Linked DNA regions of Danio rerio. The protein of the gene in region 2 interacts with the protein of the main gene of each other region in a pairwise test. Links are inferred from orthologs where the notes say so. Each region holds a gene or a part of one and is shown on either strand. Other genes may lie near its edges. The genes, in order: exoc5, tnpo2a and camk2d2.

Region 1 (3,656 bases), on a different chromosome or scaffold from region 2:
TTTTCAATTGGTACTTTATATAATGACCTCCAACATCCATTTGGAGTGGTGCTAATTTCGACAAAATATCTCAAAGATTTTAAATTAAAAAATTTAACACAAAGACAATAGAATGACTTTTTAGGTATTTCGTCAAAGAAACCAAGTTGCGGTGTTTTAAATGAAAGTAATCTAGCATCATCCTCCTGCCAATCTTCTAAATTTACTTTTACACTAATCCTGGGATATTGCAGTCTTAATTAATTCTGTTTGCAATGGTACTACAGGAAACAATTTTTGAAGAGAGAGAGGGAGAGAGAAAAAAATCAAGTAAAAAAATACTGATAGGAACTATTTTGACATTGGCAAGTGACAATGCTAACTGCACAGAATTTACAAGTGAAAAACTTTACATGTATGCAATAGCATTAATGTAGAGCAGTGTTTCTGAACCATGTTCCTAGAGGACCACCAGCTCTGCACATTTTCAATGTCTCCTAAACTAAACACCCCTAATTCACATCATTAGCCGAAACTGGAAAAGGTGTAATGGGTGTGACAGACAAAGGAGACATCCAAAACATGCAGTGATGGTGGTCCACCAGAAACGTGGTTGAGAAACACAGATGTTGAGCATGGCATGACATAAATTTTGTTGTACTTAGCCCAATTTTTATACTCTACATGCTCAGTTTACACACACTGATTTTTTTCCATCACTTTTTTCACAAGCTACTGAAGATACAGTAGCAACACTAGCCCAGACCATTGATTCACAGTTAAAACAGACTGAAATTATACTGAAATCTGCAACAATAAATACCCAACAATATTTTAGTGCTTTCATACGCACATACACTAACCATATAGTGTATACTTTGAAAAATAAATATTGCTTAAAGCTGCACAAATATGCTAATCAGCATGTGTATTAAAAACTGAGTTATACTTTGGCCATAAACATGTGTTGACAGTCACTGATGACTTCTTATGTGATAACTTTAACAACACACCAATCCTCCAATAAGGCCCATCTGCAGGTGACTTGCCTGTCAAATGGCAGCTCCTGAGCGATCAGGTGCAACTTCTGAATGATGTCTGCAGCTTCTTTTATCTGTGTAGGATGAGAACAGACTGTGGTGAGAGACAGAAAATGGTCACTACAGGACAGACATCTCAAAATATAAACAGGAGCCAGAGGCAGCACCCTTAAATCTGGCGATCAGCTTACGGTAAATCTGTCCCTCACCCTTCTCGTCCACTACAAGGATGATAAGAGTTCGGCTCAGCCTGGCACACCTGAACCTCATCAAACCTTAACTCCTGTCAGTCAGTCGCGGCCCAGCCAACACCTTACGCTCACTCTTGACTATTAAGAATTGACTATAGATAATCCCTCAGTAAATCACCTCCCATAATCTGTCCCCATAGGCAGGTAGGAGGTCTAGGCCAAAACAGAACCCCGACAAGATCCCCCCCAACCTCTCCCTTCAAGCCAGATGGACGAAGAGAAGAAAAAGGTGATGCGAAAGGCCCTGCCGTCCACATATCCTCTGTTCCCACTCTCCTTTTCCTGCCTGCCTCAGCTAACATCATTATTGTGCTCCCGTGAGGTGGATCCATCCCTTTTCCACTCTTCTCGCCGAGGTTTTCTAAGTATCTGTCCCCCAGCTAAGATTAGCTAAATCCCATGTAAGTGATGTAGCCGTCTCCCAGCAGTAGGGGGTTTTACCGGCGCTTGTCTCCTCGCTGCCTGGGCCCGGCCCTCCCTTTCACAGGGATTAACCCAGCCTTCGTTCCTTCCATTTCCCTTCCCTCCATTCCCCCCTCTCAGCTATTCACCGGCAGCTCCTCTCACTTCCCCTCTTTTCTCTTCTGGAGGCGTGCGCGTCTTGAGAAATATTGAAAAGTCTGGCGGGTATATTCCCACATGGCTCTCTGGAAGCATGTTGGTGGCCTTGTGCTAATAGCATCAGAAGATGTAAGACTTGCCACCCAGGGTTGGCCACATCATTACCGAGTAACTTGAGAGATTAACTTATAAAGTGGCATTTCCAATTAAGTTGGCGTACATCAACATCTAAGCAGGGCACATATATTAGCCTAAGGCATCCATTATATCACTGCTGCAAACTAAATTTCAGTAGCTTTGGCGGCAACTGTCGCACCCTTTACAACTTCACATTGGACAGCTGCCGGTAAAGTCCTGCTTTCACAAAATATCTGAACCCTGTGGATACATAGTCACAGTTACTCAACCGGATCTGGCCTATAATGTAATGTTTACTCGAGGTGCTTGATAACAAATAGTTGGTTACTGAACTAGTAAAGCTGCATTCACACTTCATAGGTGCCTATTGACTGGGGGCAAAACTGAAGTGGCTAGTGGGCTTTCTAATGGAACTGCTTGGGTAACGTTTGTGTGATAAACACTGTTTTCTTGATGCTAAAAATAAAAATTGTGGATGGGAAAGCACTAAATATGAATGGAATTACTACATAAAATGTTCAATTACAAATGTGAGCAAAAAACAGGTGCTCTGTAATTTCGCCTATTTATTTGCAGATCTAGTGATTGCTCCTACTGTATTAGCTGTTGCTCAAGAAAGTCGCTCTTCATTTGCATAAAATTAAGAGATTCTCAACGTTGTGTTGCCAACAGATGCTATAGCGTATGCAGCTGGAGATCGCCAGGAGTCACTAGCTGTCCACTGAAATGAATGGTAGCTGCTTTTTCACTGCATGTTGCTGGTAGTTTGAATGAGGCTTAAGGCAGATCATACCTAGTCAATTGTAAACTCTTTCTAAAAGTATTCAATAGTTGCAGTGTTGTTTTCAATTATATATTATTATAATGCATAAATTATGCTACAACAGGCCTCAAATGCACCATCACAAACATTCATGCTAAACAGCCACTAACAAGTCATTTTTTCACAATTTGCTGAATGTTAAATATGTATGCACATAGGTGTCAGCATCATCTGTCAGCAAATCTATCAGGTAAAGCATTAGCAATATGACACATTATCTTCAATCTCTTAATCAATACATCAGAGGTCTCTGTAAATATATATTCATGATATACAGAGTTTCATTTAAAGATTTTAACCTTAATCATGCAAATAGTTAGTACAGAATAGAATGTTTAACATTGTGTCCTTGCCCCCGTTTTTGAAATTAAACTGACTGCAACACTTTTTTTTTAACAAAAAAGGTTTTTTTGAATGTGTTTCTTGTTTGATATAGTAAAACTAGGCAGTCTGTCTGAATCTGACCTTTTCAGGATTGTTGAATACATCACTGCGCAGCTCTCCATCCAGGAACTCGTTAAAGTATGTCATAAGTCTCTGAGCCTCCACTGCCCTCTGTCTCGGGGTATTGACTCCTTCTAGCTGATCTCCCAGATGGCACACCTTAGTAGCCACATAGCTGATATGCTCATCCAACTCCTGGAAGTGCTGGAAGGCTACCTTTGAATCACAAGAAAGTGGAGGTTATACAGTGTACATGTACAGACACATTTACCTTTAGCCCTTTCACTTTCCCCTACACCTCAATACACACGTTCACTTGAAGGAGTGTCCAAATATCTCTTTTGCTTGGATGTATAGGGGTAGGGGTATGTGATATATAGCCCTGCAAATTGAGATTTCTCAGAACCGCATTACAAGCTA
Region 2 (4,184 bases):
CAGATAAATTTTGTTTTCTGATGATATTAAAAATGGGGCATTCCACAAGAATATGTTTAACTGTTTGGTTTCTGTTGCAATAAAGGCATTTTGGTGGTTCTTCTCCTTTGAGTAAATTCATGTGTGAGTCTTGTGTGCCTCTTCTATACACAATCTCATCGTGTCTTGACTTAAAAAATAAATTAGATTTTTTTCCTATTTCAGGTTGAATTTCAAAAAGTTTATTTTCTGGGCACTGATCCCATTCTGATTGCCATTTGTTGAGAATATATCCTTTTAATAGTGGCTTAAGATCCGAAGGTGGGATTTTGCACTCCTTCAGCTTTCCTGTTAGGGCTGTTTTGGCGGCTTTGTCAGCTTGTTCATTTTTGGGTGAACTATCCCTTTAAGTGCATTTAAACACTGGTAGACCAAGTTTCTTTATTATACCAATACATGTGAGAATATCAATATTGTCCCTTTAAACACTTGATTTCTGTAAATAGCAGGTAATTCTGTGATGTGTTGTGTGGATACCTGCTGCACAGCTCTCTGCGTGGCTGTGTTTGGAGACTGAGAGTCTCTGAGGAGCTGCAGGACCTGCTGGAGGCCTTGTTCATCCGGCTGCCACTCCATCCTGCACACAAACCACAAACAATTACATTCCTCATGCCTTCACAATTTACTTCCTCTTATGAATCCATTGCCAAACCTTTGTAAACCGCATCTATCATCTTGCAGATTACTTACTGAAACTGTATTCTTTTTTGCAGAAAAGATGGACTAACAAATAATTTACATTTATGCAGTGTGCTTACATCCCGAGTGACTAACAAAAAAAGAACAACAAAGCAATTGAAAGAATTATTTTAAGTTTGTATGTAGGTGAATTAGTTAAAAGTGTTTGGTCATAAAACACTGACTACTACACTATTTCCTCAAATGGTTTAAGTTAAAAAACTAATCCTAATGAGTACTGTGAACGTAATCCATTTGAGTAAATGAAGCAATTTGAGCACAGTAAAACCCAATAAATGGAGAACTCAAACTAACCGAGATCTGTACAACCCAATAAGTTAAGGCAACTCAAACCGTTTGAGGAAACCGATTGCTACAAACTATTCGAGATAACTAATCTTTAAGAGTACTGTGAACTTCATTTAAGTTGAAATAATGAGGTGTATTAACTTATTACCTTCAACCTTGAGTTCAAATCTCATTACAAATGAGTAGAATTAACTTTAAGTCTATTTTAAATTAACTACACTCATTTAATTTGATAAAGCTGACTCCAGGGTTTAACAGTGTACTCATAAACATGGCCTTTTCATTGTATGGCAAATCTGTTTAGATTAATATTTAGTTTATATATTTAGCAGTATATAACTATTTATTTGATTTAAACAATGACGGCTGAAACCAAAAAGATCAAAACGGCATGATTAATCAACTAAATATTTTTTAAAAGAATAAAAAAGTATTTCAGATACACAATTTAGTTAAATACACTGCAAACAAGTTTTATTTTTTTAGTTTCAAATAGTTTCCAGATACCTTACCTACAATTTCAGACATTTTCAGTACACACTTTTATGTTTTGTGTGTGTGTGTGTGTGTGTGTGTGTATATGCATGTATGTATGTATGTATGTATGTATGTATGTATATAGGGATGGATTAAAAAGATAGCAACAAAGTAATTGAAAGAATTATTTTTAAAGTTTGTATGCAAGTGAATTGGTTTCAAAGTGTTGGGTCATTAAACAATGACTACTACGCATAACCATAGCCTTTTACATGTCCTGCACATCAGTGTTTAGATTAAAGCAGTGATTGCACTTAACTTATTATGATTTAAACAATGAAAGTTGAAACCAAAAAGATGAAAACGGCATGATTAAGTTGACCAACTGTTTTAATACAATAAAAAGTTTACACAATTAAATTAAATGCACTGGAAGCCAGTTTTTTAAAGTTTGAATAGTTTCCAGATACTTTACTTTCAATTTCAGGCATTTTGTTTTTCAGTCTACTTTCACTTTATGTATATTATATAGGGATAACATTACTAAAAATAAAGTTATCCATTTAATAATACTTCTGTACATTTCATATATCCGTCTTTAAACATACTTTTACTCACAACACTTATTTCAAAATGACTGTACCTTGATTAGCCCAAAATAAGCGTTTAATAGTCTCAATCTTTCACAGAAACTGATATTAACGTATCTGTGAGTTACATCTGGTAACGTTACGTTACATACTTAAAACATTACATACATACTTATAACTGACCCGATTCTTTGTTTGTGATTAAGAGCTAACAGAAATAACGTTACACGCATCTCCAGCGATTCGATACAATAACCGAAATTAACATGACAAAGCCTGTGGTTATAATTGTTAGCCTTTGTCGGACTTAATTATCAATTGTTATTCAGTTGATGAAGGCATAAAAGCATGAAACAATCAAGCAATGCACATGGTCAGGAGTGCATATCATGCCGAGGCCTAGTCTTTCACCATATGCATGAGAGCAACTCAAAAACAATCGGTCACGACGTTAAAGCATTATAAACGCGTAAAACACTTATCACACACTTGTTACAGAAACAAAAACATGAGGCGAAACTTCGAAACCTAAAGCAACAAGTAACGGCCGTCTATCGCTAACGTTAATCCTACATAAACATCATTGTACACACACAACAAGTGAAGCGTTGGCCGCGAACTAGCGTTTATACTTGTTTTAATCCATGCCACGCGACATTATTAAGACAAACTGCACGTTTATATTTAAATATAGTATTTTTTTTAATTCAGAAGAGTTCACTTACACATGCCGCGTGTGGAGGCCTACTTATCAGCTCGCGCTAGTCTCGCGCAATGGCACTTTCAAACACTTCCGCAGCACGACCGCCGCCACGAGGAAGTGACGACATGTCGGCAGTTTCAAAAATACACGAATCTGAGAGGGACTCTTTTTTATGAACAAAGAGCTTAGAGTCACTAGATTAGATAAAAATTGATTCTATACTCTTTTGTATGGAGGACGAAACCTGCAAAAACAGTAGATAAATAAATAGACATAAAAAATCTAATTCATTTTGGTTTACCAAACCAAATGTTTGGTATATGTGTGTGTGTGTGTGTGTGTGTGTGTGTGTGTGTGTGTGTGTGTGTGTGTGTGTGTGTGTGTGTGTGTGTGTGTGTTTGCAAAAAAAGTTGAGAAGTTTGTAGCAATATATGTTTAAAATACAGAATATGAATTACACTATCCATGAAAAAGATACAAGAGAGAAAGAAAGAAAATAAAGAACATGATATAAACTTGAGGGTAAGACATTTAAGAATCAATTACAGTACATAACTTAAAGTGATTACAAAATGAAACAGTTTTGTTGGCTGTTTTTTTTAGATAATGAAATTTAATGTAATTTTTAACAAAATTCCTGCAAAAAAAAAAACGGGAAAATATGGTTTGGCATTAGTAAATTTGCATTTGTGGATATGGAATTTACAAAGAAAATAAATAAAATGTATAACAAAACAAACATTAATACAGGCAGATTTATAATAACCAAAAATAATTTCTTTAAAAGTAACAGAAACATCTTGCTGTAAATTATCATAAATAAAAGAGCTAATGTGTTTCCAAAATTGTACAGCATAATTACAATTCCAAATTAAATAAAAAACTATTTCAGTATGAAATTGCTAAAATGAACATTTTACATCAATTTTAGAATGAAACTTTTTCAAAAATTGGATAAAATATGATAAAACTTGTTGATTAATTTAAGACACTTTGACCTTGCTAGTGAAGAATTATTTTTGTTGCAAAGACCATATTTTTCCCCATCTCAAATGTCAAAATATATTAATCCAATAAGAGATTACAGGGGACAATATAACAACTTTTTCAATAAAAAACAAATCTAATTATTTTTTTTTAATTAGAAAAACAAAATTGACCTATAAACGTCTTTGTCGGATAAGAAAGATACACTTTTTTAGGAGGGAGACGATTGCTAGCTCCCATAACAATGTTGAAATTTTTTGAACTTGCTGGTATGCAGGGCAGGATTGACCAATAGGCATTATAGGCACAGGCTCATTAAAAAATATCATCAGACATACTGTGAAAATTCCCTTGCTCTGTTAAACATCATTTGGGAAATATTTAAAAGATCAAAATGGGAG
Region 3 (3,656 bases), on a different chromosome or scaffold from region 2:
GCTAAATTGTCCATAGTGTGTGTGTGTGTGTATGTGGGGATGTTTCCCAGAGATGGGTTGCGGCTGGAAGGGCATCCGCTGCGTAAAAAAACTTGCTGGATAAGTTGGCGGTTCATTCCGCTGTCATTCCTTTTTTTAAAGTAAAATAATAAAATAAAATAAATAAAAATAAAAATAAAACAAAATATGTTAATGAAGCTCAGTGCCACCAGTAACACTGGCTTCTGTAGCCATTCTACTGCCTATATACTGTATGCTAACTTGTGTTGATGAATGATTAGTCGGAGAAGGTCTCTTTTTTATTTGCACAAAAGTATTTCTTGCATATACTGTCTTTGAAGTCAAATGAAAGGGAAGTTAAGATGTTCTTTTTCCCATGTCATGGCGTACATCTGATTAAAACGATCCTACAATGAGAAAAATTGGAAAATAATTGGATTGCTGGAAGATGGGTGTTGCTAACAAAATGAAGGATCAACAGATGGACGAAAGCAGGGCAGAAATAGGACACGCCCTGATAGCCCCGCCCTAAAGGCATTCCATGTGACCAGAAGTGAAAAAAAGTTGTTTCAAGGGGGAGAGATGGTTATGGTATTTGATAAAACATTATAAGGGCAAAATAATTTGTACAAAATAATGAATTGCACAGATGCAATGTTTTAGCAAACACTACTATGTACACATAAAAATAAGAAGAGTACATTTTGATTTCATGCCGACTGTAATGACCTAAAAAAACTATTGATTTCATCAGACTCATTTTAAAGCTGAATTTATTTGAAGTATTTGCTGTGAAGAAGTTTCCCCTCTGAATGTGGCCATAATAGGAGCTTTCTGGTTCTCACAGGTGTGATCCTCTACATTCTGCTGGTTGGATATCCGCCATTTTGGGATGAAGACCAGCATCGCCTCTATCAGCAGATCAAGGCTGGTGCCTATGATGTAAGACTGAAGTTGAAGATTTCTCCTGCAAAGTGTTCACACTATACAAGAAGACACTGTTAGAGCTACATATGCAGAATATGATGAGACTGTTGATAACCATTGGGCAACACTGATGATAACTTGATGATATCTTGGGTTCCACAGCATATATGTTCATACAAAATAATGAAACTATGCTCAATTGTGTTGTTTTATCTCCAAATGTAGTTTCCTTCTCCCGAGTGGGACACCGTGACCCCTGAAGCTAAAGATCTGATTAATAAGATGTTGACTATCAATCCCTCTAAACGTATCACAGCTGCTGAAGCCCTCAAACACCCCTGGATCTGCGTATGTTTTTTTAACACATAAACACACACTAGTAAACAAGCTTGTCTATACACAGTACAACAAAGGACTGTTTTAATCTTTACTAATGACTAATTTTTCTATCTTCTTTCTCTTCCTTCAGCAACGCTCCACTGTTGCCTCAATGATGCACAGACAGGAAACCGTGGAGTGCTTGAAGAAATTCAACGCCAGAAGGAAACTCAAGGTTAGTTTTTAACTGATCTTTTACAGTTTTCTACTTTTGACCAAGCTTTAGCTTTCTCCACACCTTCAGAGTTTACTTCGCAGAGCTTCACCATTGTGTGTGCACTTGCTTTTTCTCTAAATCCGAGTCACAGAGACTCTGTTTACACCAGGTATTAATATGCATTTTCATCAATGTAATTACAAGTGGATGAATCAAAGGCCTGCTTTCACAGACAGGGCTTAGGGTGCACTCACACTATGCTATCTGAACCGTGTCCTGGCTTGTTTCCCGGTTCGTTTGACAAGTGTGAGTGTTCTGAATCGGGACATGTCATGCATATGAGCATTCCTGCAAAAGTGATATAGTGCTTGATTAAATAGGAGACAGGGGTTTTGTCAAAATCACAGCGATCACAAATAATGCATTTGAATGCATGTTAATAAATATAAATGGATTGAAACAAGGCCAGGGTATTTGTGCTTTAAAAGTATTTCAGTACACTATTGTATTGCTTTTTGGCTAATTATACTTAAATTACATTTTGTAAGTATTTATGAAAAGTCATTATAAGAGGTTTCAAACTAGAAAAAGTATTTCATCTTGCAAATAAACAAAAAAGAGATGACACTCTGCTGTTGCTTCTGTGCTATTCTTTCTTTCACCTCTCTCCTGCTTCTTGTTTTTTCCCCTTTTCTTCCATTTCCAAAACTTTTTTTTTTTTGCAACTAGGGTGCAATTCTGACCACTCTCCTGGTCACAAGAAACTTCTCAGGTACGTCTGGCTCTGCAGAACTGTACGTTTGAATTCTACAGCTGCAATAAACTCCCTCCGTTTTTATTTTCCTGCACAAATACTGTAAATTTGATTCAAAATGCTATAGTTTTTTTCTCATATAACTTGCTTTGTGTTTAATTTGCTGTTTATTATTGATTTAATTTTTTGGAACAAGTCTGTTTTGAAGTGAGGTGGTACACTACCACTTTTCAGACATTTTATTTAACATTTCTTTCCTGTTTATCGTTGCTTTGTCTCTTTTTGGGGGGGTCCTGTGGGTCCCGTGAGGTAAGAGTCTAATTGGACATAAGAAGGGGATGTGTTTTTACTCTAACCAGTGAACTGGTTTGCTTGTTTGACACACTTCCCTGTTACTCTGAGATACTAATTACCCTTGTTTGCATGTTATCAAACAGATTACATTCATATCGTCAACTCACGTTTTGTGTACAATGTCTATAAAATAATTTTTAAACTAATACATTTGCATTAGTTTAAACTATATTAATGCCACAATAATCAAAAAGTACTTTATGAATGTAATCACAAAAATAATGTTAACTTACTGGAAGAATAAATGTTTACTGTCTTGCTAATGAAACAAGTATCTTGAATGCTTGCTCATTATCTGGTTACATGTTCATCTGGATATGTTTATGTGCATTTTGCAATGTTACTTTTACAAATCAGGTATAATAATTTAAGGGTGTAGAATTTACTAGCTCTAAGCAAAATACAGTTGTCAATATGTTATAGATAAGGTCATAACTGTATGGTTGTCTGCACTAAATTTGTGATGATCTGTATTCTAAAGCAACTCTTTCTTCGAGGACAAATGTGTTTAATTTATTTATATAGCACATTTCCAACTGCCAAAAGGCTGCACAAAGTGCTTTACAGAGAAAAAATAAACTGACGATATGGGCATAAAAACAGTAACAGCAATAGGCACATAAAAGGAAAAAACATAGAAAGTGTAACAATAAAAAGAGCAAAAAACTAATTGAAATTTTGCCTAATTATAAGATGCTACCACAGTTGACCACACTAAATAAGATTAAGAACAGGAACGTTTTGATCCCCCCACCCCCCTACTCCTGACGGGAAGGATTTTTGCTTCAAAAGACCTACAAAATAAATAAGTCTTTACTTTAGACTAAAAAATAAGCAGTGACAAAGCCTTTTTTAGTTCTAATGGCAGGGCTTTCCAGAGGCGAGGACCTGATATGGCAAAAGCACTTTTGCCCCTACTGTTGAGGTGGGCCTTTGGAACTTTTAATAAAAACTGATCAGCGGAACGCAAATGTCTGAATGCAGTGTAAATAACAATCAGTTGGGATAAATAATGCGGGCCTAGACCATGTAGGGCTTTAAACACAAAGAGAAGTTTTTTAAATTCGATTCTTTGTGTCACCGGTA

Evidence for each region.
Region 1: the proteins of tnpo2a (region 2) and exoc5 interact in binary tests that used the Homo sapiens proteins (3 or more experiments, as listed by UniProt). The two-hybrid records come from large-scale screens. The link is inferred for Danio rerio from reciprocal best matches to the Homo sapiens genes TNPO2 and EXOC5.
Region 3: the proteins of tnpo2a (region 2) and camk2d2 interact in binary tests that used the Homo sapiens proteins (3 or more experiments, as listed by UniProt). The two-hybrid records come from large-scale screens. The link is inferred for Danio rerio from reciprocal best matches to the Homo sapiens genes TNPO2 and CAMK2D.

What each region holds. Positions count from the first base shown.
Region 1 is NC_133192.1:49,414,295-49,417,950, forward strand, and holds part of exoc5 (exocyst complex component 5), read right to left. Parts: intron 3,453-3,656; coding exon 3,258-3,452; intron 1,094-3,257; coding exon 1,029-1,093; intron 1-1,028. UniProt on the Homo sapiens protein: Component of the exocyst complex involved in the docking of exocytic vesicles with fusion sites on the plasma membrane.
Region 2 is NC_133178.1:17,588,070-17,592,253, reverse strand, and holds the start of tnpo2a (transportin-2), read right to left. Parts: upstream 2,867-4,184; 5' UTR 2,819-2,866; intron 617-2,818; 5' UTR 616-616; coding exon 517-615; intron 1-516. UniProt on the Homo sapiens protein: Probably functions in nuclear protein import as nuclear transport receptor. Serves as receptor for nuclear localization signals (NLS) in cargo substrates.
Region 3 is NC_133176.1:15,575,911-15,579,566, reverse strand, and holds part of camk2d2 (calcium/calmodulin-dependent protein kinase type II delta 2 chain), read left to right. Parts: intron 1-847; coding exon 848-942; intron 943-1,152; coding exon 1,153-1,275; intron 1,276-1,396; coding exon 1,397-1,480; intron 1,481-2,191; coding exon 2,192-2,234; exon of another isoform or gene 2,235-2,525; intron 2,526-3,656. UniProt on the Homo sapiens protein: Calcium/calmodulin-dependent protein kinase involved in the regulation of Ca(2+) homeostatis and excitation-contraction coupling (ECC) in heart by targeting ion channels, transporters and accessory proteins involved in Ca(2+) influx into the myocyte, Ca(2+) release from the sarcoplasmic reticulum (SR), SR Ca(2+) uptake and Na(+) and K(+) channel transport.